Linked DNA regions of Struthio camelus. The main gene of each other region encodes a partner of the protein of the gene in region 3 in a complex. Links are inferred from orthologs where the notes say so. Each region holds a gene or a part of one and is shown on either strand. Other genes may lie near its edges.

Region 1 (7,714 bases), on a different chromosome or scaffold from region 3:
TGGAAGCAGGTAATGGGCATCTTTCCCATGTTAATTTGAAAACAGAATCCATGAGAGCAGGACACCGGGGAACGGAGCACGTCGCGGCTCCCCCGGCGGCGCCCCCCGGCGCGCTGCGGACCCCTCTGCTTTTCCTCGCCCGCCGCCGGCGGGTTTCGCAGGTGGTCGCCGTCAAGCGGAGGAGGATTTGGGCTTGGCGAGGGGGGCGCACGGTAACCTCGGGCGAGCCGGGCCACGAGTCCCGCTCGGCTGCGGATTGTGCTGAACCTGCAGCTCGGGGAAGGGGGGAGCGGGCACGGCGGCGGCGGCGGGGGGGGGGACGGCCCCGGGCACGGCCCGCCGCGGCCGACTGCTGCCCGCGATGCCGCGGCCGGAGCCCTGGGTGGCTGCTGCAGCGATAAAATCCCGGGGCCTTGTTTTATCCCAGCGAGGACGTGTCGAGCCGAGTCGCTCTCCCTCCTCCCCTCGCCGCCGTCTGAACTTGCCCCCGAATCACCCACCGGGGCTCCGTCCTTCGCTAACAAGGACTCGTACCTTTTATCCCCCGGCTCCGGGAGGGGAAGAGGATGGAGGGGAGAGGCAAGGATTTCTCCCGTGGGCGAGCCTCCCCCTTCCCGGGGGGCGGCAGCGGCGGGGGGGGGGGGGGGGAGGCTGGGTGGCGTTGGAGTTTCGTTTGCCGAGATACCATTAACGAGTGAGCAAAGGTTGCGGTGTCTCCATGGAGACAAGACAGCAAGCGAGACGGAGAGTGTGTGCATCTAAGGTTAGAGCTGATTAGTAAATGTCAGCAGCACAGCGACTGCCCCGCGCGCCGCTGGCTCGGGGCCCCGGCGGGCACCGCGCGCCCCCGGCCCCGCTCGGAGCATCCTCGCAGCCGCGGTGCCGGCGGCCGGACCCGCCGCGGTCCCCGACGCCGGGCGTTCCCGCGCCCTGCCGCCGCGGCCATACGGCCGTGAGCCCCTTCTCGGTTGTTTTCCGAGCTGCTCGCGGAGCCGGAGGGCGTGGAAGGGGCACCAAGGCTCCCGGCACCCTCCTGGCGGGTGTCCCGGGAGAGCCGCTCGGCCGACCTCCCGGGCGAGGACGGGGCCGCCACGGGAGGCAAAGCCACCCCGCGTCCTTGTCGCGGAGCCGCTCGCGGCCGGGCCGGCGGCTCGGCAGGCTGAAGGCGCGGAGCTGGCTTCGAGCAAGGCTGGGCGAGATACGCCGCGGCCGTCCCGTCGAGGATCTCCGCTCGCCCCCCTCCGTGGGTCGCGGGGAGGAAGGATGAGGCCGGGCCTGGCAGGCATCGCTTAGTTTTAGGAAGGAGCAAGGCCTGGGTTAAGGAAAAAGGTGGGGTGGGATGAAGCAGCAATTTGCGGCAGGGCCTTTCTAGGGTTATCGGGGCTTCAGTCGCAGCCTGCGCCCGCTCGGGAGGGAAGCGAGAGCCGCAGCACGCCGGCTCCGGCCCCTTCCCTCGCCTCGGCCCTCGCGCGGGCGCATCAGCATTTTACGCTCAGCAAAATGCAGGGAGGCACCTGGCAGGCGAGAGCATGCCTCTTGCAGAGAAACAAGTGTCAGGGGGTAGCGCGGGGGGGCTGGATACTGCAATTTAGCAGGTATTATTCGGCAGCTATAAACAGAGCCTCTCACACAGACGGGGAGAGATAAAGGTTGCAGTGCAGATACAGATTAGGTGGTTCCCTTGAGGCTGTGACACCTTGAGATAGAAGCAGATCTTCAAGGGAACGGCTTGCTGGCAGCCTGGAAAACCTGGAGCCGAGCGGCCTCCAGCGCCGCCGTGCTAGAGCCGGCTCCCGCGTCCCTGCCCTGGCGCCGCGGCGGCAGCTTTCCCCCAGTATGCGGGGGGGGGACGGGGCGGCGCAGGGCGTCCGGCCTTTGCACCGACCGTTGCCGAGGACGCCCTGCAAAGAGATGCATAAGGGAGAAACAGCTATTTTCAATAGTGCACGTGCCCATCTCGACCTCGAGGGCGCCGGAGGCGTGCCAGCACAAGTCGGAGCAACCCCCGGGCTGCTCCAGCCTGGCCGGGAGGCAGCCAGGGCCGTCGCCTTCGCCGGTCGGCGGCTCACGGCGCCGCCGAATCAGGCCGGGGAGCGCGTGGGACCTGTGCTTGGCGTGTGCTTTCCCTGGCCGCCGCAGCAGTTAGCAGCAGCGCTCTTAAATGGATTTGTTTGCTTCCAATGGGGAAGTGACAGAAAAGCCAGTGATTTACTCACTGCAGTTTGTTTTAAAGCACGATCACTTTGAGCTCCGAATAGATAGATGTCTGTGCCTTACGCCATTTATTTTGTTAGTGTCCATTTCTTTTCCTGGCTCCTTTAGGTATAAATGAAGTCAGCAATTATGGTTATAATCAGGCAGTGGGGAAAAAGATTTACCACAAGTGCACAGACAGAGAGGCTGTGGCGAAGGCGTACTGGGTACCGTGTGCTGTTAATTTTTGATCAGGTATTTACTCCTGCAGCTTGGGACAATGGAAATCTTTGTTCTCTTTCCTCCTTCCCCCCTTGAGGATAGCTTTTCCAAGTAGAAGAGGATTATTGGTCTGTAGCAACCTGCACTGCTGTACACCCCATTCCTCATCCCTGCGCAGAGCTGACCCCTGCGATCTCAAGGGGGTTTCTGCGGAGGGTCACTAGCATCACCCTTGCTCTGCCGAGGGCAAAACCGAGGTGAAAAGGAGGGGGATGGATGCACCCAGGGTCACCTAAGCTTGCAGCAGGGCAGAGAGGAGAATCAGGCTTTTCTGAGCCCCGGCATGCTCAGCACGCTGCTTGTCCCACTGCGACCCCCCCATCCTGCAAGACTTCTGCCTTTACCGGGGCCAGTCACACGTGAAAAGCAGAGCAGGGACAAAACGTCCTTGCAGGACCAGGACTTGCAGCGGCGTCTACTCAGCGAGGCCCTCCCGCATCGCTGCCCGTGTCGGGGTTTTAATTTAGAGCGCGTGTCCCCGCCGCGCACACCGTCAGCCCCCTTCGCTAAATCAGGAGGCTCGTTTGTGCTGCGACTCTGCTCCCAGCCGCGTATGGGAGTGTCGGGGCACGGAGAGGAAACGGTGCTGGAGCCAAAGGCAACGTCACTCGACAGCTTCCCGCAGCCGCCGCCCCGGCGCGGCCCCAAATGGCCCATGCAGAGAGGGGCCGCCTGGGCCCGGCACTGGCACCCCGGGGGGCTGGGTACCCCCCCAGGGCTGGGTACCCTCGACAGTGGGTAACCCTGGTGGTGGGTAACCCTGGTAGTAGGTGCCCCCAGCAGTGGGTAACGGTGGTGGTAGGTACCCCTGGCAGGGGGTACCCCTGGTGGTGGGCACCCCTGGCAGTGGGTAACACTGGCGGTGGGTACCCATGGTGTTGGGTAACACCAGTGCCAGGTACCCATGGTGGTAGGTACCCCTGGCAGTGGGTACCCCCGGTGGTGGGCACCCCTGGTGGTAGGTAACACTGGCAGTGAGCACCCCCAGTGGTGGGCACCCCTGGTGGTGGGTAACCTTAGTGGTGGGTACCTCCAGCAGTGGGTAACATTGGTGGTGGGCACCCCTGGTGGTGGGTAACCTTAGTGGTGGGTACCTCCAGCAGTGGGTAACATTGGTGGTGGGTACCCCTGGTGGTGGGTAACCTTAGTGGTGGGTACCTCCAGCAGTGGGTAACATTGGTGGTGGGCACCCCTGGTGGTGGGTAACCTTAGTGGTGGGTACCTCCAGCAGTGGGTAACATTGGTGGTGGGTACCCCTGGTGGTGGGTAACACTGGTGGTGAGTACCCCTGGCGGTGGGTACCCCTGGCAGTGGTTCGTGGCTGACAGGCAGAGGTGGGTGTCTGGGTTTGCACCCCCAGAGCTGGTGACTGCCAGGCTCCTGCCTGGCCCTGTCCCCCTCAGCCCCCTGCCCTGCTCCCTCCTCCCCTCTCCCCAAAGCCCCTCACCCATACCCCATCACTGCCACCCTGTCCCCTAACCGCCACCCTGTCTCCACCCCTACCCCCTAACTGCCACCCTGTCCCCACCCCCTCCCCTAAATGCCACCCCTGTCCCCAGCCCTGTCCCCTAACCACCACCCTGTCCCCACCCCTGACTCCTCACTGCCACCCCTGTCCCCAGCCCTGTCCCCTAACCACCACCCTCTCCCCACCCCTACCCCCTAACCGCCACCCTCTCCCCACCCCTGACTCCTCACTGCCACCCCTGACCCCCAACTGCCACCCTATCCCACCGCCGCCCCCTCACCCCCACCCCTGCCCCTCTTCCCCCCCCCCCCCGGCGGCCGCGCCGCCCTGGCGTGACACCCCCGCTCCCCCAGGTGGAACTTTCCTTGCGGGGCGTCAGACCATAGAGGCGAAAGGCAGCACCAAGGTGCAGCACTTGGGGGGGGACTCCGGAAAGGAAAGAGACCCTTTTCCTCCAGGCTAACCTAGAAGAAAACCGTGCTCTGGCACCCACAGTCCCAGATGTATATTTTGAAATTCTGTCGCTTTGCGTGACGTCGGGATTCTCCCCGCTTCCCTGGAAATGTTTCTCTCCTTGTCATCCAAGGATCCCCTCTTTAATCCCCTGGATGGTACTTTCCTCCCTGTTTACTCACTTTGCGCGGCCCGCTTGGGTGGGGTTCTTTTGCTGCTCCGATTTCGTACGCAAGTGGCGTAGGACGGCTTTGATAGACGGCAGCGCTCAGCCAATGGCAGGGCAGTAGCCTTGGCCAGCGAGCCAACGGTGTAGCGGACCGGCGGCCGGGAGGAGGCGGGGCAAAGTTTAGTCAGGGTAGGGAGGGGGAGCCGTGGAATGGCGGACGGCCGGGCTGGCCCGCCCTGGTGGTAGCGAGCCGAGGGGGCCGCAGAAGACAGCCTCGGAGTGGGGTGAGTGCGAGAGGGGGTAGCGGCGACCCCCCGGCCCCCCCCGGCCGCCTCTTCCCCGGGGAAAGAGGCGGAGGCGCTGGGGTGGGCCGTTAGGCCCTTGCCAAATAGTGAGCTCTCGGGGTGAGCCGGGCCCTGTTTCCTGCTACATAGTGAGCCCCCTGCCCTGTGTGGGCTCTGGTGCCCCCGGTCTTGGGGGGGGGTCTGGCCCCGGCCTGGGGCGGGGGGAGGAAGGGGGAAGGGAATGGCCTTATCCCAGGCTGACACTTGCCCTGCCCCTCCCAGGGGCCGTGGCTCAGTGCTGGGCTGCGTGGCCTGGGCTGGGGCTGCCCTGCCTGGGGGGCTGAGGGGGAGGGGGCTGCCCTGCCCGGGGGGTGCCAGTGCCCTGGGCTGGGTTAGGGGAAGGCTGGGTGCTGAGCTCTTAGTGGTGTCAGCCCCTGTCCTGGGGTTGTTACTGAGGTCTAGCTTAGCTGGGAATAACTTGAGGGGCCTGGGGAGGAGGAGAGGTTGCTGGGGTGCTCCCTAAAGGAGAAGAAGTGCTGCTTTGCTGGGGGTGGCGGGGGTCCTTCCCTTACCAGGCTGGTCGCAGCCTTTGCTCTCAGGCCTTGACATTAGTTCATCGAAATGGTGCTTGCGCAAATGCGTGCGTGTCTCTTACTTGTGTAGAAAGTTTATCCGTGCGAGTGGCTGACTGCCCTTGTTGGTGCAAGTTCTGGTGACTGCCCTCATGGAGGGTTGCTGTGAAAATGCTTTCTCCCTGCTGGCTGTCCTCCTGCCCCAGAAGTGGGTGCATCCTTCAGTATGTGTGGGTACACCTTATGGATGTGTGTAAGCCCCTCAACTAGCAGCTAACCATGCAGCCATGTAAAATGTCAAACTACTTGAGGTAGGACTGTGTGGGTGCATATGTTGGAAATATCTTCCCTAGTGTTAAATCCCTGGGCACTATCTGAAAAGAAGCTTTAAAGGGTGTAACGGCATATGGTTGGGTAATTTGGTCAAATGTGCTGACCTACCAGTGACCTCAGATCATATTTCTTTCAGAGAAGAAATAAGTTGCCAGGCAATGTCCTCAGGGTTGTACCTCACTAGCATTTGGGTTTATATTGGAGCTACTCCTTTGGGATACAAATAGCGTATGTCCTTTGGAGAAAGGCAAGATGTTGCAGCTCCTCCCTGTTAGCTATTGTTTGACCTTAAAGACCTTCCTCTGGTAGGAGTTTTTTTCTGCTGAAAGTTTCACATTTGGCCTTACTGATTTACTTCCATTAGTAGCAGCAGACTTGGGAGCCCTCACGTAGATGGACCTGCTAGCGGGACTATATGGCGTGTGAACGCCAAGTATTGGCCTGTTCAATAAGACATTAGAAAATGCTGACAGTCTAAGACTCCCAGCATGGCAGATCTTAGTGGATATGAAATAATCTTAATGATGATAAGGAACTTCAGTGAGTACACCTGATACAGACCAGGCTATAATTGCTGCAGACAAGGCCACAAGTTATCAAACCTTTTGTAACTCTCACACTTGTGCATCTTTCCCTCGAACTGGGAAATCTCGTGAGAACGGAAAGATTGAAAGTAAAAGACGTGACAGGCCAGTAGTGTGTGTGTGCGTTTCCCTGTGGCAAAGTTGATGCAAAATGTTACTTTATGGGAAGTATTAAAGTGTGTCTGCTTGATCACATGAGGAAGGGGAATAGTTATGTTTTCTGCTAGTTTTAAAAGCTTGTAGAATTGGTTGCTATAAAATGCTGCTGGAATTAAAATGCTGTGTTGCAACCCTATTCATTAGGAATTCTGACTGGCCTTTTAGTGACCTTGAGTGGATTTTTGTCATAGAAACTAATACTTAGCTAAAACAAACTTAGTTTAAAAACAAACTAAAGCTTACATCTACCAACTGAAAACACAGACAATATGTTGATAGAGTGACTTTGAAAATCCACTTGCACTCGCAGCCAAGGACAAGCTTTATCCAGCGAGTGGGGTGGAGTAGGTCAGGCACTTCACAATTCTGCAGGTTTTTTTTTTTTTAAGGTGTGTACTTGAAATACAGGATTTGAATGAAACAGCTTGACCACAGTCTTTGAGGCCTAATTCAAATCCTTGCACAAGGTGCAGTGGGCAGTATTGCACCTGAGCAGGTTGGTGACAGCAGGGATTGAACCCAGAACCTCTCATTTTGAAAGCATCACATGCTGCTTGACTAAAAGACTCCCTTCAGTTAGGGGCAAAGAGCAGGCCTATCAGCTCCCTATGTAGCCCAGGCGAATCAAGGTGAAGCTTTGCTATATGTAATGGGTGTTGGTTGTAAGAGCATAATTTTCCAAGGGTGAACTGAATGTAAACTCTTTCCCAAAGTGCAGCATGTTTTCACTGCTTTAAAAAAAGAAAGTTGATATTGTTTATTTATCTTGTAACAAGTTCAAGAAGTAAATATCCCAAATTCCATCCTTTTTTTTTTTAAAAAAAAAAAAAAAAAAAACCCTTCTGGTGGCTCATGCCTGTTAGACTCCTTCCTCTTCAAAGCAATGGAAATAAGCCTTTCCAATCTCTCTGCTGCTGATCAGTTTTTCCAAGCTGCTGTACGGTGATGTTAGCAAGAGCCCTGCTTCATTTCACTGTTCTCACAGCCCCAGCCCCACAAAATCAAAGGTGCAGCAATGAAATGAAACAGTCTTCTCTTACCTGATCTTAGGCTATAGGCTTGCCCCCATTTCTCGCTTTAGCTTCTGTCTGGTGTACATTCCTAACAAATCTTTCAAGCTCTGGCTTTGTAAAACTATGCTGGGGGGAGGGGGGGAAATGCAGGCCAAGAGTTTGGGGAAAAGGAAATGCAGTGTGTTTCCAACTACTTTGTTTTGT
Region 2 (7,561 bases), on a different chromosome or scaffold from region 3:
AAACAAAGAATTAAAAAATAATAATATCAAGAGTTTTGAGTGAATGAGTGCTATTATAATTATTGTAAATTGTTAATACCAGCAAACAGAATAATCAAACTTGTTCCATCTCAACCTCACCATGCAGAGGAGGTCTGAGTACAGAATAATAGATTTTATACTAAATAGCACACAATCTTTCCCATACAAAGACAGAAAACTATCCAGACTCAAAGCTATCCAAACTCAAAGAGGACAGTTTGAGTCAGTTACATAGGACAAATTATGACACATAGCCAATCCTAAACTATTTTAGCACTCACTTAACATATAGGTTCTCCATTCTGGCCTGTTTTTTTTTTTTTTTTTACCCCCTTCTTTTTAAATGCTCCCTGTTGCATTGACTATTAGTTACTAACTCAATTATATTAAACACAAACAGTTTACATTTTGTGTTGGTTAAGCCTCTTCCTCTTTCCTCCCTTCCCTTCCCATACCACACACGCACGCGCACACACACACACATACATACACACACTCTCCCAGTCCTCACAACCCAGACTCTCAGTGTCATATTGCCTAATCCTGCAGTGGCACGACCACAGGCACAGGAAGTATAATCTGTTCAGTAGTCCAACTGGAGAGCAGATGGCTTTGCACAAAGTGCTGATTAAAAAGAAAAAAAAAAAAACCAAAAAAACCCTCTACCAGACATTCAAAAAAAAATCAGTTTTATAGATATATTTGCCATTTTTACTGACTTGAGTCTGATCTGTGCACCATGCAAGCTAGGTATACATTCTTCAGAGCTGCTGCTTAAATCCTTATTAGGAATTTTAGAACTTCAGCTTCCTTCCAAAAAGGATAAACACAGCTGTACACAGATAAACCATCAGACTGTACCAATTCCATATCCAATTGACCCTGATACTTGAGGTGAAAATGAGCTAGAGGGGGGAAAAAATCCTGACAAACAACTGGATGAGAAGGAGTTTAAATGTTTTTTGCTTGCTTGAAAAAGAGAAGGCAAGTTTTAGGACCCTGAAAAAAATCATATAGCCGAAGATACTCTGCAACTTTTTAACACAGGAGAAAAAGTCAGGAGACGGGTCAAAACTTGTGCTGTAATTACCATACTCATGTATTTGTCATAATTTCCCATGAGTAAAACTAAATGAACCTCGCCTCTTAGAAGCATTTATATCAGCAGCTTTATTTGGGTGGAGCAAACAAGTCGGAAGAGTAAATACACATCAACTCTTATTGCCTCACAGAAAAAGAGTCTTAAAAAACACGGCTCGTTAGTACAGCTTTAATCTAAATACCAACATTAGCTCATATTAAAAAAAAAAAAAAGAAAACAGATTCCAGTACAGATTCTTATAGCCTGGTTTTCAAGTTTGCTGCTCCATTATTAAAAATAGTAAGTGTACTAGCAACAATGGACACCAAAGATTTTAATAACACTTATTAAGTACTCATTACAGGTAGTCTAGTATTACATTCAACAAGTCAACTTTACAAGCTGTCTAGTAAGTAGTGTAATTTAATTGCTTTTTTTTTTTTTTAAGAAAAAATGAAAGAATGTTTAATCTGAGCATCTCTTCGTGGCTCTGAATCCACATCAGTATGGCTACATATACAGATCTACATTCCGACTTAAATGCTGCAAAGCCAAACCCTCAAAAAATAAAATAAATTAAAGTGTGCTTAAAGTAGCTTCACAAAAATGACTTAAAGCAAGGCCAAGAAGCACCAGCAAGCTACGAGGGGAAAAAAAAATACGCACTGACTGGTGTAGACAAGCTTCAACCAATGGAGCCTCTTCCAGCAACAGAGAGCCGGTCTAAAATTACTGTCATAGGATGGTTGAACTAGGAAGCCTCCAAGAGGCACAGATTGCCATTTTGAAATACCACATCACGCTCACACGTTAGCACCGGTATGCCGGCCGCTTCCTGCTCTCACAAACCGCTCCTTTTCACGATTCAAACCTGCAGCGCATCACGCCAAGACAGTGATTCGCGGGGCCTCGGCGAGAATTACGCGGCCGGGATTAAAAGCAGAATTTCCACGGCGAGGTCCCTCGGGCGACGGCCCTGCGTGATGTCAGCCGCGCGCGCGCGCCGTGCCCCGCCGCCCCCCCCCGCCGCCCCTCAGCGCCGCCCGCGGCCCCCGCGCCTCAGGTGCGAAAGCCGCGCGCCGCCGCTCCACGTGAGGCGCGGCGCTGCCCGCCTCACCAACCGCCACCAACCGCCGCGGCGGGCCCGCCTCGCCGCCCGCCACACCGAGCGCCCCGCGCTGCCCCGAAGGAGCCGCGCCGCCGCGGGGCGACGGCTGACGGGGAAACCTGAGACACCGGCTCTGACCCGGCCACACGGCGCGGCTCACAAGCCCCACCACCATCCCCCCCCCGCCCAGGGAGGTCTCCGGGATGTGACTCATAATAAATAAATTTAAAAAAGAAAAAAAAAGACACACCCTCTGAGCCGGACTGACATAATAACCCCCCCCCCTTCGGAGCGGGGGAGAGGAAAATCCAGTCGTTCAGCGAGAAAAGTTAAAAGAAAACGCAAATCCGGGGGAACGGCGGAGGGGCGGGGGCGGGCAGGGAGCCGCGGCGGGGGCAGCGGGGCGCCGCGGTGCCCCAGAGGCGGCCGCGGCCCCGGCTCCGCGCCGCCGCCCGCACCGGAGAGCCGCCCTGCCTCCCCGCCCTGCCGCCAGCCTCCGCGCCCCGGTGCGCCGCACGGGCGCTGCCCCCGCCGCCCCTCACCTGGATGTAGTTGTTTTCGCAGTAGTCGGCGACCCGAGTGAGGTTCTGGTAGCTCTCGAGCAGAGCCCGCTTGCCAGAAGGGATTTCCTCCTCTAGTAACATCTGCAACTCTGCCATTTTCCACCCCTCCGCATCGCTTCCTCCTGCATTAAAGAGACAGCGGCAGCTCCGAGCTCACAACCCGCCTGGTATTGTGGGATTCCTCCTCGCCTCGCTTTCGTGAGCTCTCGCTTTCCCCACCCATCCTGCCCCCTCGGAGAGAGGAGGAAAAAAAAAAAAAAGAAAAAAAAGAAAAAAAAGCTCTTTGCAAAGGAAGCTGGGAATCGTAGGCACCGCTGCTCCGCGTAGGGCGCTTGCGCGGCGAGGCGGGCGCTGCTCATGGCCGCCGCCCGCGGCCGCGGCGGGATGGTGGCGGTGCTCGGGGGGCCGCCGCTGCCCTCCCGGCGCGGCCTCCGCGGAGGGAGGCGGGAGAGGGGCCGCCGGCCTCATGAGGGGCGGGCGGGCAGGAAGGGAGGGAGGAGGGAAGGGGGCAGCGCCATCCTCTCGCCGAGCTGAACGAGGCTGTCGCGGCGGCGGAGGGCCTGGGCGAGGGCCCGGGGGTCGGTCACGACACGCATCGCCGACCGCAACGCGCGGGCTGCGAGCGCTGCCCCCGCCCCTGGCTCTCCGAGCCCTTCTCCAGCGCCTCTTTTCCTGCTGCTCGTTTCGTCCCTCCTCAGAAAAACCCAGTCCCACCAGGGCTGCCCTGGGCGAGGGTCACCTCTCCAGGAGAAGCGGCAACAGGGTGCGGGGTGAAGCTCTGCGCTGGTGCTCTGGCCAGCGACCACCTCAGATGGGGCAGGGCAAGGCTCGAGCAGCATAACAGCAAAGGGTGGCAGAAATTGGTAAGGTGGTAAGAGCGTCACAATTAGAGGTAATTAGTCCGAGGGGAAGTCTGTTCCCAGCTGGTTCTCCCGTGGAGTAGGAAAAACACCAAATCTAAGCTGTGTAGATTTTTTTTTTTTCTGGGCCTGCCCAGAAGTGACAATTCACAAACAATTAGCATTTATCTTTTTAATATCATAAGAAGAACTTAAATATTATACTGGGATGAATACGTTATTTGTGGCACTCTCTTGCCGTAGTTGTTAATCGTTGTTTAGGCTTTTGTCCAATTGTTGTTGAAAAGATGTGATGGATAAGGGTCCAGTGATTCTTCAGTAAAATATTTTTTGCATATATTTTTTTGAAAGTCAAATCCTCTTTCCGTGTTCATACCAGAAAGAAGCCAATAACAGCAGGTGCCTTATGTGCTGAGAAGTCCAAGCCTGCCTTCCAGTAAGTAGCAGGCCCAAACAGAGCTGTTTCCTAGCTCCATTATTCATGCCTTGGCTTTGCTTGCCTTGTGTACGCACTCACAAACACAACTGGGGTCAGCCTTTGCATTTTAGTAATTGTCCTGGAGAAACCCATAGCAGAGAAATGTCAACGTATTTAGGAATGACACCCTCAAAGACATCCTAGTAAGAGCAGATTGCCTTAAATTGCGGCACAGTCATGGTATTTTGCATGTTCATTGTCCAGTGGAGTCCTTTCTCTGTCTGTAGTACTGAAAACCACTCTGGGCAGGATCCTTTGGCATACCTGCTTGCCTAAGTCAAGAGAAAGGAAAAATATATCTGCCTCTCCCTGAGAGGTCAGCAAAGTCCAGCATCTCAGTCTAGAGCGCTGGAACCAAGCATGAATGGCAGGGGGCCTGGGAAGGACGTGTGGGCCTGGGAAGGTCTTTGCAGCTGGAGTTACAAAAACCACCACCTGGCTGGGGAACGGTGAGACAGCTACACAGAAAGGCATTCCAGTGCATCCTGGGACATCGCAGAAAGGACCTGCTACAGCACTTCCTGTGGGATAGAGAGGAGTCTACATTGCTCCGCAGGTTAATTCGTTTGGCAGCTCAACAAAATTGTTTCCAAAGTGGTTTCGATAATTCTCTTTAGGACAGCATATAATTTCCAATCAAACATTTTATTTAGGATTTTAGGTGCCATTTTAATATAAAGTAAATTTGATATGCAACAGTACTGAAATATAGACAAGCCTTTAATGGGTCCCACAGCAAATGTGATCAGAAACTGTCTTGGGCACTGACTTCTCCTTGTTTCCAGCTATAATACAAAGACAAATTTCATGTCTTTATTCAGTCTGGCTGCAAATTGCTTAACGCACCCATTGGCTTGGATGAGTTTGTAATTACCTACAGATCAAAGACTGACTTCATGGAAGCTGTTAACATCCTCAAACGCAGCACAATTGTTGGTAGTTCTTCTTCAAATGCTATTGCTGCCCCTGTATGAAGGGTTGGCAGATGTTTGGGGTCTTGAACATCAACTTTTTTCAATATTGGAAAAATCAGTTATGTGTATTTTGCTAAATGCATTGTGCTTCGCTTCAGTGGGCAAACAAGCCCTAAAAGCAGATGGCAGAACAGCAAGCTGAGTAGGGGAGTGGTGGCCCTTAGTGAATACACCCTCCTCAAACAGTAGAGCAGAGGCTTCAGGTGTTCATACGGCCCCTTTCCCTCCATGGATCTCAACCCAAAATGCCTTGCATAAACCCCAAACTTGCCAACTCTTCCTAAAGTGTGATTGCAGCCCAAGAGGAGCTTGGAAGACCGCATCAAAGAGCGCCATCTTGTGACATGTGCTACAGCACTTGTTGTAGCCTTACTTGCACAGCCAGGGTTTAACCAGTACATAGAGGATAGAGCTACTGCAAGTATAGAAACACAACAGCTGGCTCCACACCGAGCTAGGTCAACTCCAGCAGAACTTTTTAACTCAGTGCCATACAACCACAGGTATGTTGCTGCTAGGCCAGGCTAGATGAGAGGCACTGGGAAACATAGTGTGGATGTGCTCAACCAGATCAGCAGGCCTTATTAGCTCCTGATCCATGTTAGTCCTCCTGGTTTCAAAATGACTCCCTGGAGGTTCACCTGAGTGTCTTTACAGTGTGTTCCTCATCTCTCAGGTTCTCAGGGGATGTATTGACTCAGATGCACTAGACCCAAGCTGGCTCCATGAACATGTATGGTGTGTACACGAAGCAATTCCCATGCACCTGAAAGCACAGACGCATTCAGGTAGCTGTATAAGAACTTGCCAAACCTAGCAAAACCAGCACTGAGCCAGAGCCAATAAACCCTTGGACCTAAGTTGACCTTTTTTGAAGACACTGGTGTATGTCTGAACTGCGTTCACCATGGTGTCCTTTAGAAACTGTTTTATGCTGTTTTTTTTAATTATCACACTTTCCCATAGTTCTAGACAATGAACTGTTGATGAGAATGGAAAGTTAACTAACTTGCTCAAGATTTATGAAAGTGTGCAAGAGAAGTGAGACTAAAACATTTTACTAGAGCCTGGACTGGTGGAGAAAAAAATGTAATGATGCTCTTCAAGCTCCAACTAAGCAATCATTAGAACGAGATCTCATTCAGAGTAAAGTGTGCTTGTGTAACTCTGTGTCTCAACTGCCTATATGAGCTTCACTTCCCCCTCAGTGGGCATGGTGGTCTCCAGGGGCAATACTGTCCTTCTGGGACGTAGCTCATTCCTGACTAGCACAGAAGAATGTGGCTGTCTTCTAAATGCATCCAGCTGTAGCATCAAAGCAACTTCTCCTGCACTATAATTTATGTAGTTCTGTAACTGTCTGTTCTGTTTTCTAGGCCACAGATTGATGTATGTCTTTGTTTTTCCCTTGGGAACAGTACTTGCTTCAGTAGTGTTGATTGGAAAATAACCATTTATTTCTTGTTGGACGGTTTCTCGGCTGGATCAGTTCTTGATCCAGCTGTCTAGCCACACAAGTGTTTTTGACTAGGGCACTGGAGAGGGAGATGAGGGATCAGAGGGGACAGCTGGAAGTGTAGGGGACATGGCACCTCTTCGGATCAGCCATGTCAGCTCTACTGCCAAATGCCAAGCCTCATGTTCTTGTCAGAAAATTGTTATTGATTACTGTGATATAGTTACACAAGTGCAGCTGTACTAGGACAATCCTACATGAATACTTACCAAAATCTTTTTTTTTTCTGGGACAAAAAGAGGCTTTTTTGGTGTTTCTTATTCCATATTAGAAGTAACTGGTCAAGAAGCTACAGAGCTATATTGGTTTGCCTTCCTGTGCTTTAGATCTAGCACACAGAGATTTACTTAAGAACTAAAATAATTAACCGTGTTGATATTTTAATTATCATCACAGGGTATCTGAGTGTTGGAGAGATGAATGAGGTTGTTCCCGCTTCTTGGAGATAATTTGCCGGGCTCTCTGCACTCTCCTGGGCATCTCTGCATGTGCTTTTCTCAAGTAATATTTTTAAGTTTTTCATTACAGTTGTACCAACCAGAGACGTTCCCTCCCTCCTCACTGTGAAGGCAGAGATATTTGGAGCTGGCGTGCTGTAGGGCTGCGTCCCGGTGCTGCAGAGGCTGCGTGCTTGGGGTCTGGTGCCCCGTCGGCGGGACACCTTGCCACTCGCGCTGCCAGTTGCTAGGCAGCAGGAGAGCTCTGCCACGACAGAGCATGCACACGCCAACCACACATTGCTAGGCAGCGTAAGCCGCTGGAGAGCACAGAAATAATAAGATTCAAAATTGCTGCCTTGAGAATGCATAAGATAAGAGCAGCACAAAAATAAATAGCTCTACTGTATTTTGACATGACCTTTCTCCTCTAATATATTTTCACTTGCAGGATTTGCCTTCTGTCTCAACCTCATTTTTCATACAACTCTCTCCTCTTCATCCCTCCTGCATGCTTATCTTT
Region 3 (7,691 bases):
TCTCTCAGAAGGAATAAACAAAGCATTCATTAAACTAAGGTGGATATCAGACAAACTTCCAATATAAAACACACAGCTGGAATAGGTATCTGCTCGTTCTTTACTTATATTTTAAGGACTGTATAGTGGGTCAAGAAAGTTTGTGGGTTCAAGCCAGGGGGAACATTTCCACCCTGAGAAAACTGAAGGAAAAAAAAAAAAAATCAAAGGTGTTCATAACAAAACATACATAAGTACCCTAAAGAACTACAAGTTTTTTTAAAGTCAGTCAAAGAGTTAAGAAATGAAAAGTATGGACTGTTTGTGGAACATTCACTTTCTTTTAACGTAGATTTTTTTGCAATTTATGTAGCAGTATCCACTTAGGAGATATTGCAATATTTAAACCCCAGAAATTTTACATTAACTCTGCTCCACGCATTTCAAACACTACTTCTCTATTCTCTCTCGTGATCATAACCCTCAGCAGGAATTCACCAGACCCAAGGTCAGCGAACAAAATGCACAAGGTCTTACTCATCTTCAGCACAGGATCCTTGTCTGTTTGTTTTTCTTAAGACTCCAGGCTTTTTCTTCCTTCTAAATAAGAATAACAATAATCTAGGCGTAACAACCTGGAAACCACAAAATACAACTGAGGTATTCTATCAACCACATCATTGTCCTGACAGAAAAAAAAATTCAAGCAAGTTGCTTTTGCAAAGAAACATTACTGTTTCATACTGTACCCCAAGTTTTCCAAAGGCTGGTTCCAAATACCTCCTCCTTCCTGGCAGCTAAGGAAATAACGGCTGCCTATTCCAGCTAAAGTTCACAGGCAAGTTAATTGCGAATGCTGAAAGAGCCTTTTAGATTAGGTCAGGAGGAACTCTGTGTTAAAAAAAAAACAAAAGCAGTTTTAAAAAGCGCAGAAGTAGGAGTTGGATAAATCCAAGAACCAGACAGAACAACCGCTGTGAGGACTAAGAACACAAGTTCAAGCACAGAGCTCAGAGATTCTCCGCCTGAGCATAAAACAGTTTGTAAACATGCAATTAATACCAATATAAAACAAAGATCAAGAAAGTACGTCATGGTATTATTAGAAGTTCCCATCTAAAAAAATACATTAACCAATGACACTAAACGCATGAGTTTTCAGTAAATTTGCTGTAATAAAGCTTTGGCAAATAAGTAAGTGAAATGCAATAAGGACTAGGGATGCTTACTAGAGAGTCTAAACTTTACATCTCCCGCAGTTTATGGTAAAGTGTTGTCTGACCTTCTAATTAAAGAGAAATTCTTCTGGACAACTTTCCTCTCCCCTCCAATGTATGCGCTTCAGCAACCACTTCAGGTTGATTCACTACATTCCTCAAAGACTACCTCCTCCATATAGTCTGTCTTCCTGACACAAATAACAATTTGCATGTCTAAACACTACTCACACCTATCATCAGATGGTACAGGAAGAAAAAATAAGGCAATGAGAACTAGAAAGGTAAAAACTATTAACAGACTTCCTGATGAACTAGAGAAGTATATGAAATCCATTTCGGCATGAATCCGTTCGCACATCGTAGACATATACAGAAGGTGCACGGTTACCACGATGCCTAGTAGGGAATTATGAACAGACGCTGCAACTCTCACTACAACGTAATTATCTTGATTAGAGAAAACTCAAGTTCCTCAAAATCCTACTCTGGGAATTCAGACAGATGCTCAATCATCTCTTTCAACTGAAAGAGGGGATGGATTTGCACGCCGTTTCTGACTTACTATTTCCCACCTCATCTGCTCCCCAACACCGGACAGCATCGGAAGCAAAGCTCTAACTATCCCAGCACCGCAAACAGACACACGGACTCCATGCGAGAGGGGACAACGAAACCCCCCCTCCCCCCATAAGCGACACACTTAAAACCGCTCTCCAATTAATCACCTGGGAGGATTCATACGCTTTCTGGCCTACCCCAGAAGCGGCAGCCCGCCCGCCCGCCCGCCCGCCGCAGGCTGGCAGTTACCCGGCAGGGCACCGCATCTTCTCCCCCGCGCCCTGCCACCAGCTACCTGCCCCAGCTTGCCCGCACCTGACGGGCCTCGCTCGGGCTGCGCGTATATATGTATGTATTTACACACACGCGCGCGCGTAGACAAGCGCACCGCGCAACGCAGCCTGCGGCACGAACTGACTTAAATTTCAGCATCCGGAGAAAACCAAACGTTTCTGCGGACAGGCGCGGGCAGGCAACAACACCGAGGCGGCTCCACGCAGAGCCCACCCCCCGCCTGCCGCCCCGCGGGCGCCCGGCGCTGGCGGCCGGCACAGGGCAGGGCAGGGCGGCCCAACCCAACCCGGCCCGGCCCGCGCAGCCCCCCGGGGCGCCGCGGCCTGAGCCCCGCGGCCGCCGAGAACGGCGCAGGGCGAGGCGGGAGGCGAAGCGGCGCCCCAAGCCGCGGAGGCCTGACCCCCCCCCCCCCGCCCCGCAGCCCCCGCGTCGCGCCGAGCCGGGCAAGCGCCGCTCACCCGCTGGCCGGCGGCTCCCGCGAGGGTCGCCCGCCGCCGGGGGCGGAGGGCTGGAGGAGGGGGGTGGGGGGGGGGGGCTCGGCTCGGCTCGGCTCGCCGCCGCCGGGGCTCGCGTCGGCCCGGCGGCTCCTCTCCCCCGGCCGCGCCTGGCTGGCAGTTTCCTGTCTGAGTCACTTCGGCTGGGAACTACGCAGGGAAACACCCTTCCTGCCGCTCCAGCTCCTCCTCCCGCCGCCCCATCCCAAACCTGCCGCCCCCCGCTCCCTCCCCGCCCGGGCCGGGCCCCGCCTCCCGCCGCCTCCCCGCGCAGCGCTGCAGGTGCCGGGCGGCTGCCGGGGCTCCGCGGCCGCCGAGGAGCGACTGCTCTCCCCCCCCCCCACCCCCCAACATAAGGCAAGCAGCCTTAGACGTTAGCTACCCATACAGACACAAGCAGAGCACGACTCTCTCACAGCTGCGCGTCAGCCCCAGAGAGGCTCATTCCGCAGAGGGACCAAGCTGCGCCCGGCCGGCCCGCGGCCGTTCAGCACGGTGCGGGGCGCCACAGGGACGCCCGGGACATGACGCCGCCGAGCGTGAAAGTCGCGGGCCGCGGCGACATTTTCCTCACTTGACGGGAGGGAACGAGCCCCCGCATCAAGGATCCGAGGCTAGTCTTAACCACAAGGGTTTCAAGAGAAAACCCTTGGAAATACTACCTCTAGGTGGTGCTCGCGTGGGCCTTGCTCCTACCTGGAATGCCACTGTTAATTGAAACTGAAAGCAGAAAAGCAAAAAGGCCAGTTTTGCTCTCAACCACCTCCAAATGTCATTGTTCTGTAAAACAGTAGCGTGTATATGCTTGTCTACTTTAGAAAGTACTTAGCTGTTGCACGTTTTCATTTCACACTCTGTTTTTGTCCTATTTCTCCAATTTTAAGATTCATCTACTTGACACTGTACCACAAAAAGAAATTTCTTCCCAAGTTGGTCACCAAAACTGGTCTTTCTGTCCACTATCCTACAGCAGACAGAACACACCTCTCTACTATATCTAGGGATTACAGTCAGTTCCGAACATAGAACAAACAGAATTGTTTGGAAATCTCCTCAAAGCCCCTTTTCTTGTATTTCACTACTTCAAGTTGCATCCCACATTTTATCTGCTTTTGAAAATCCTCCCTTACTCATTAGCAACCTGCACAGTTTTGCTGCAGCAAGCGATTTTCTCATCTCTGTTTTCAAGAGCTGCTGGTGAGATACTGTGCTGTTAATGCTTTTTGTGCTGAGAACAGAATAATTATTCCTTTCCTTGATCTTTGTTTTTTTCAAATTTCCACTGTTTTAAGTTTCCTTAAATAGCCTTTTTGTACAAGCACCTACAAGAAAGCCTTTGGGAAGTGGAGATAAGTTGCTAAACACACTAATCCTCATGACTTCAAGTACTGTTTTATCCATCTATTCTATCCATTCCACACCATCAAGAATTTCAGCATCTTGGGGAGAAATTATACACCATTTCAAAAGGTTGTTGTTGTTACTATTTCATCGTATTGCAGACTTACCTTCACAGTCATATTTTTTCCAGTGCTGCAATATTGTCCATTGGTATATGAAACAGTTTCTCTTCTAGGATGTCGCTGCTTATTCTTCTCTGACTGCTTGTGCACATACAATAGTATATTTTGAGTACATATATCAAATGAATAAATTCCATCTATCACAGTTCCTTATCATCCAAGCCTCTAAATCCAGGTCAAGCGAAAACTAGGAAAGGCTACCACAACGGGATTCTTCAGCTTTCTAAAATGACAGCTGACACTGTCCAGGTGCAATCCCTCTTACGCTCTCTTCCACAAACAGCGCTTGGGGCAATCAAGTTACTAAAGTGAAGAGTAACTCATGAAGACTAACTCGCCTTCGTAAGACAGGATCGTGCATGTTTGCTAGTCCTGGATTAGTGCAAACTCACAACAGCCTTGTCTTAATGCAACCACTTGGCCTAGATCAGCAGCAAGGCCTTAGTTATCAAGCCACAACAGAGCCCCAAGGGAGGCTGGAAGCACACCAAATTTCTGCAAGGCCCAATCAAGGAGCTGCTCCAATCAGAGCCAGAAAATCTGAACAGCAGCAGCTTGGCCCCACCAGCGTTTCTCCTTAGTGCTCCTGTGCAAGACTGCCACTGGAGCTTCCGTGCTTACAAAAAGTCATCTGGTGCCAGGAGTGCTGCTTCGCACAAAAGCCAGACCCTGCCAAGCAGCACCATACTGCCCTAACAATAACAACTTCTCGTACAACCGCCCGATGCTTCAGGGTCTTGCCATGTTCCTGCTAAAGAAACAGAGTGGGTGTAGGAGCTACTGCCCTCTACTGGGGCAATCTACCCTTTCGGACAATCCTGTACTCAAAATTTATAGCTACCCATAAGGTCAGATTAAAAATACTGATGGTAATTAAGCAGCTAGTCAAGACTTGTGTTGCTTTTCGGTTGTTTGGTATCGGGATTAGAGGACAATCACATTACAAGAACTGGATGTGTATGTTCTCTCGTAACAGCAAGGTATGCTTTTCAGAATTAATTTGGAAAGAGTCTTCACAGCATTTCAGCTGCCAGATTCAATTCTGAAATGCCCCACAACTCCCTGCTCACTCCACTTTTGTGCAATTTAAATAATGGGATGACAGTACTGGATTAAAGGAGCTAAGATATAGAGATCTCCATGACCCATTTCTGCCGTTACATTTTCCTTCTTCTGGGCCTGACTTTGAATGCTCTTAATCACACTCTTGCTTAATTGAATGTGAACCTCTTCCGCGCCTAGTTAAAGATGTAAGTTTCTATACATCCTGACCAAGCCATTAACTGACCCTTTATCCACTGGAAGATGGCTGTCGTTTTCATGAAGCCAACAGCTAGAATTAGAAACTCAACAGCCCTTTCTGGGTGGTAAAATATTTATTTCAACCTGGTATTTGAGCCCATACCTGTCAGTTATCTATAGTGAGATCTACAGCACTAACGTATCATGCTGTTGACAATTTGTGTACCCTACACCTAAACCAGATGAATATCATATGATACGGTGGTATCAAGCTTGATCCAATTCTCTGCCTCTGTTCAGGGGTATCTACGGTAGATACAGACACCCACAAGACTGTTTCCCGAATTCCAGTTATTTCGATTCCATTTTGATTTCTTTATTTGCACTTTACAGTATTTAGCAAAGTCTATGAAAGAAGAGCTTCCACAGGAATCTTAAGGCCCTGCCACTAGCTGTTTGCTATGTGTAAAATGCTTATGTACTGTCTCGGTTTCGCATCTTTCCACTCAGATATTTTAGTGATGAAGCTTATCGATACTTTACCTGTTAATTCAACAGAGATCTTCTCATCCTCATAAAGGAGGTAAAACACCACAGGAGGTAAAACTGCCATGATCCAGTACAGAAAGGCATTCATGAAGCCATGATCAGCTAGGGCTGCAGTGAGCCCAAGAATTGTAAACCATGCAGTGCTGCAAACAAAGAAAATAGTTAAAACTATAAATTAGTTAAAAACAAAAGCCATACCTCTGGCAACGTGTCAGTCACCTGTCCATGCTGTGAAGGGCTGGACAGGATTTTGGCTGAAGATGTCAGCACAGACTTCATTTTGTATCAGACGCGGCCAATGGTTTAAAGCACAGCAAGACCACAAAAACATTACACGTTCCCACACTACCTATAAGAAAACTTGTTGCAGCTCTCAAGAAGAGATAAACACATGTGTACAGGGCACAGGTTGTGGAGAGTTTAAGCAGAAGAGACCAAGTAGCAAGCAGCAACTGTCTAAAAGAGGTCTCAATGAGCAGACAGCTCAGAAAGTGAAAACCTGCCCATGGCAGGAAGCCTAGCCAGCTTATGACAAATACTAGTAACTCCTTCCAACAACAGACTACAGCCAAGAGCTTTCTGCTTCAGAAGGCCTTATGCAAATAAAAAGTGATCTGGTTGCCCACATCTATCTCTAACCCCACAAAAAGAAAAGATTTCTGACCCTGAGAGCACGTAGGTCACCAGTAGCACAGCTGCCAATAGCAAGCATGTTGCACATTTGTAAACACCCATCAGTGCATGATGAGATGTGCAGCTATCTTTTGATTTCCTTCCTAGTGCTGCATGCCATCATTTCAAACGGATATAAGTTTCCTGGTTCTGCTTTCCAATGCTAGAACATATGCCATCCTTTTGTTCAATACCTTCTGTTGCCCCCTGCCAACTCTGAAGGCTTTAACTCTCTCTGTCTGTACAATGAGCCCATGTCCCGCTGCTCCACTTTCCAATAACCTGCATGCTGAGCTGCCAACCACACCAGAGCCCACTCACCCAACTCCCTGACAGGCATGAATGAGTACAAATCCCTCCTTGACCCTATCAGAAATTATATGCATTTTGATCATGCAAGAAATCCGCACAGAAGACTATGGCATGTTTGTTACGCAGCTCATCATTACAACTGCATCAGAGTTCAGTACAGTCTTTAAAAGCATTCTTTAAATTTCTATCCTCTACAAGCCATTATCAAGGCAGACAGCACCCTATTAGGGATTTAGCATTGCAAGATATAGCCCGCCTTGCCCCAAACAGTTACATCCCTCCAGCAATGCATTGTCAGGAAGTAGCATCAATACATACATCTTTTATCACCCTTATTAGCTTTAATGCACAAATATTTTTATTGCTGTTTCAGGGTCACATGTTCTAACATCCAAGCAGCAGCCGAAATGTAATCCCTCACTTGGCCTCATCTGGATTCACATCCCTCCCTGCCATTACTCTTATCTCGACCCCAGCCCTACCTCTCTAATCTATTAATTTCATTAGATATCTAGCGCCATGACCAGTGGTTTTGTACAGCTTTTCCAGCAATAAATGCAGTGCAGCAATGAGCCACTGCACAATCCAGTAAATGAGAATTTATCAATAAGGGAAGGGTTTTTTGTTTTTTTGTTGTTGGTGGTGGTGTTTTTGTTGGCTTTGTTTTTGAAGTGTACCAAAGAGTATAAGAGGAAAGCTGGAACACTTGTAAATCTCTAGGGTCTTTTAAGATTGAAAAGCAGCTGGGGGGAAGGATTTTTTATTTATTTATTTTTAATCAGCCGGCAATTTGGAGCTGCTAGCTTTACTCTATGCTACTAAGGAAAACATAAAATCAACAACTACTT

What was found. The genes of interacting proteins can lie anywhere in the genome.
Region 1: CYFIP1 (region 3) and WASF2 share a complex: the UniProt entries of both Homo sapiens proteins name them as parts of the WAVE2 complex. The link is inferred for Struthio camelus from reciprocal best matches to the Homo sapiens genes CYFIP1 and WASF2.
Region 2: CYFIP1 (region 3) and ABI1 share a complex: the UniProt entries of both Homo sapiens proteins name them as parts of the WAVE2 complex. The link is inferred for Struthio camelus from reciprocal best matches to the Homo sapiens genes CYFIP1 and ABI1.

What each region holds. Positions count from the first base shown.
Region 1 is NC_090964.1:6,577,141-6,584,854, forward strand, and holds the start of WASF2 (actin-binding protein WASF2), read left to right. Parts: upstream 1-4,713; 5' UTR 4,714-4,849; intron 4,850-7,714. UniProt on the Homo sapiens protein: Downstream effector molecule involved in the transmission of signals from tyrosine kinase receptors and small GTPases to the actin cytoskeleton. Promotes formation of actin filaments. Part of the WAVE complex that regulates lamellipodia formation.
Region 2 is NC_090943.1:19,262,222-19,269,782, reverse strand, and holds the start of ABI1 (abl interactor 1), read right to left. Parts: upstream 3,002-7,561; 5' UTR 2,870-3,001; coding exon 2,753-2,869; intron 2,062-2,752; exon of another isoform or gene 1,769-2,061; intron 1-1,768. UniProt on the Homo sapiens protein: May act in negative regulation of cell growth and transformation by interacting with nonreceptor tyrosine kinases ABL1 and/or ABL2. May play a role in regulation of EGF-induced Erk pathway activation. Involved in cytoskeletal reorganization and EGFR signaling.
Region 3 is NC_090942.1:148,825,265-148,832,955, reverse strand, and holds the start of CYFIP1 (cytoplasmic FMR1-interacting protein 1), read right to left. Parts: upstream 3,006-7,691; 5' UTR 2,991-3,005; coding exon 2,962-2,990; intron 2,722-2,961; exon of another isoform or gene 2,510-2,721; intron 2,268-2,509; exon of another isoform or gene 2,190-2,267; coding exon of another isoform or gene 2,176-2,189; intron 871-2,175; exon of another isoform or gene 729-870; intron 1-728. UniProt on the Homo sapiens protein: Component of the CYFIP1-EIF4E-FMR1 complex which binds to the mRNA cap and mediates translational repression. In the CYFIP1-EIF4E-FMR1 complex this subunit is an adapter between EIF4E and FMR1.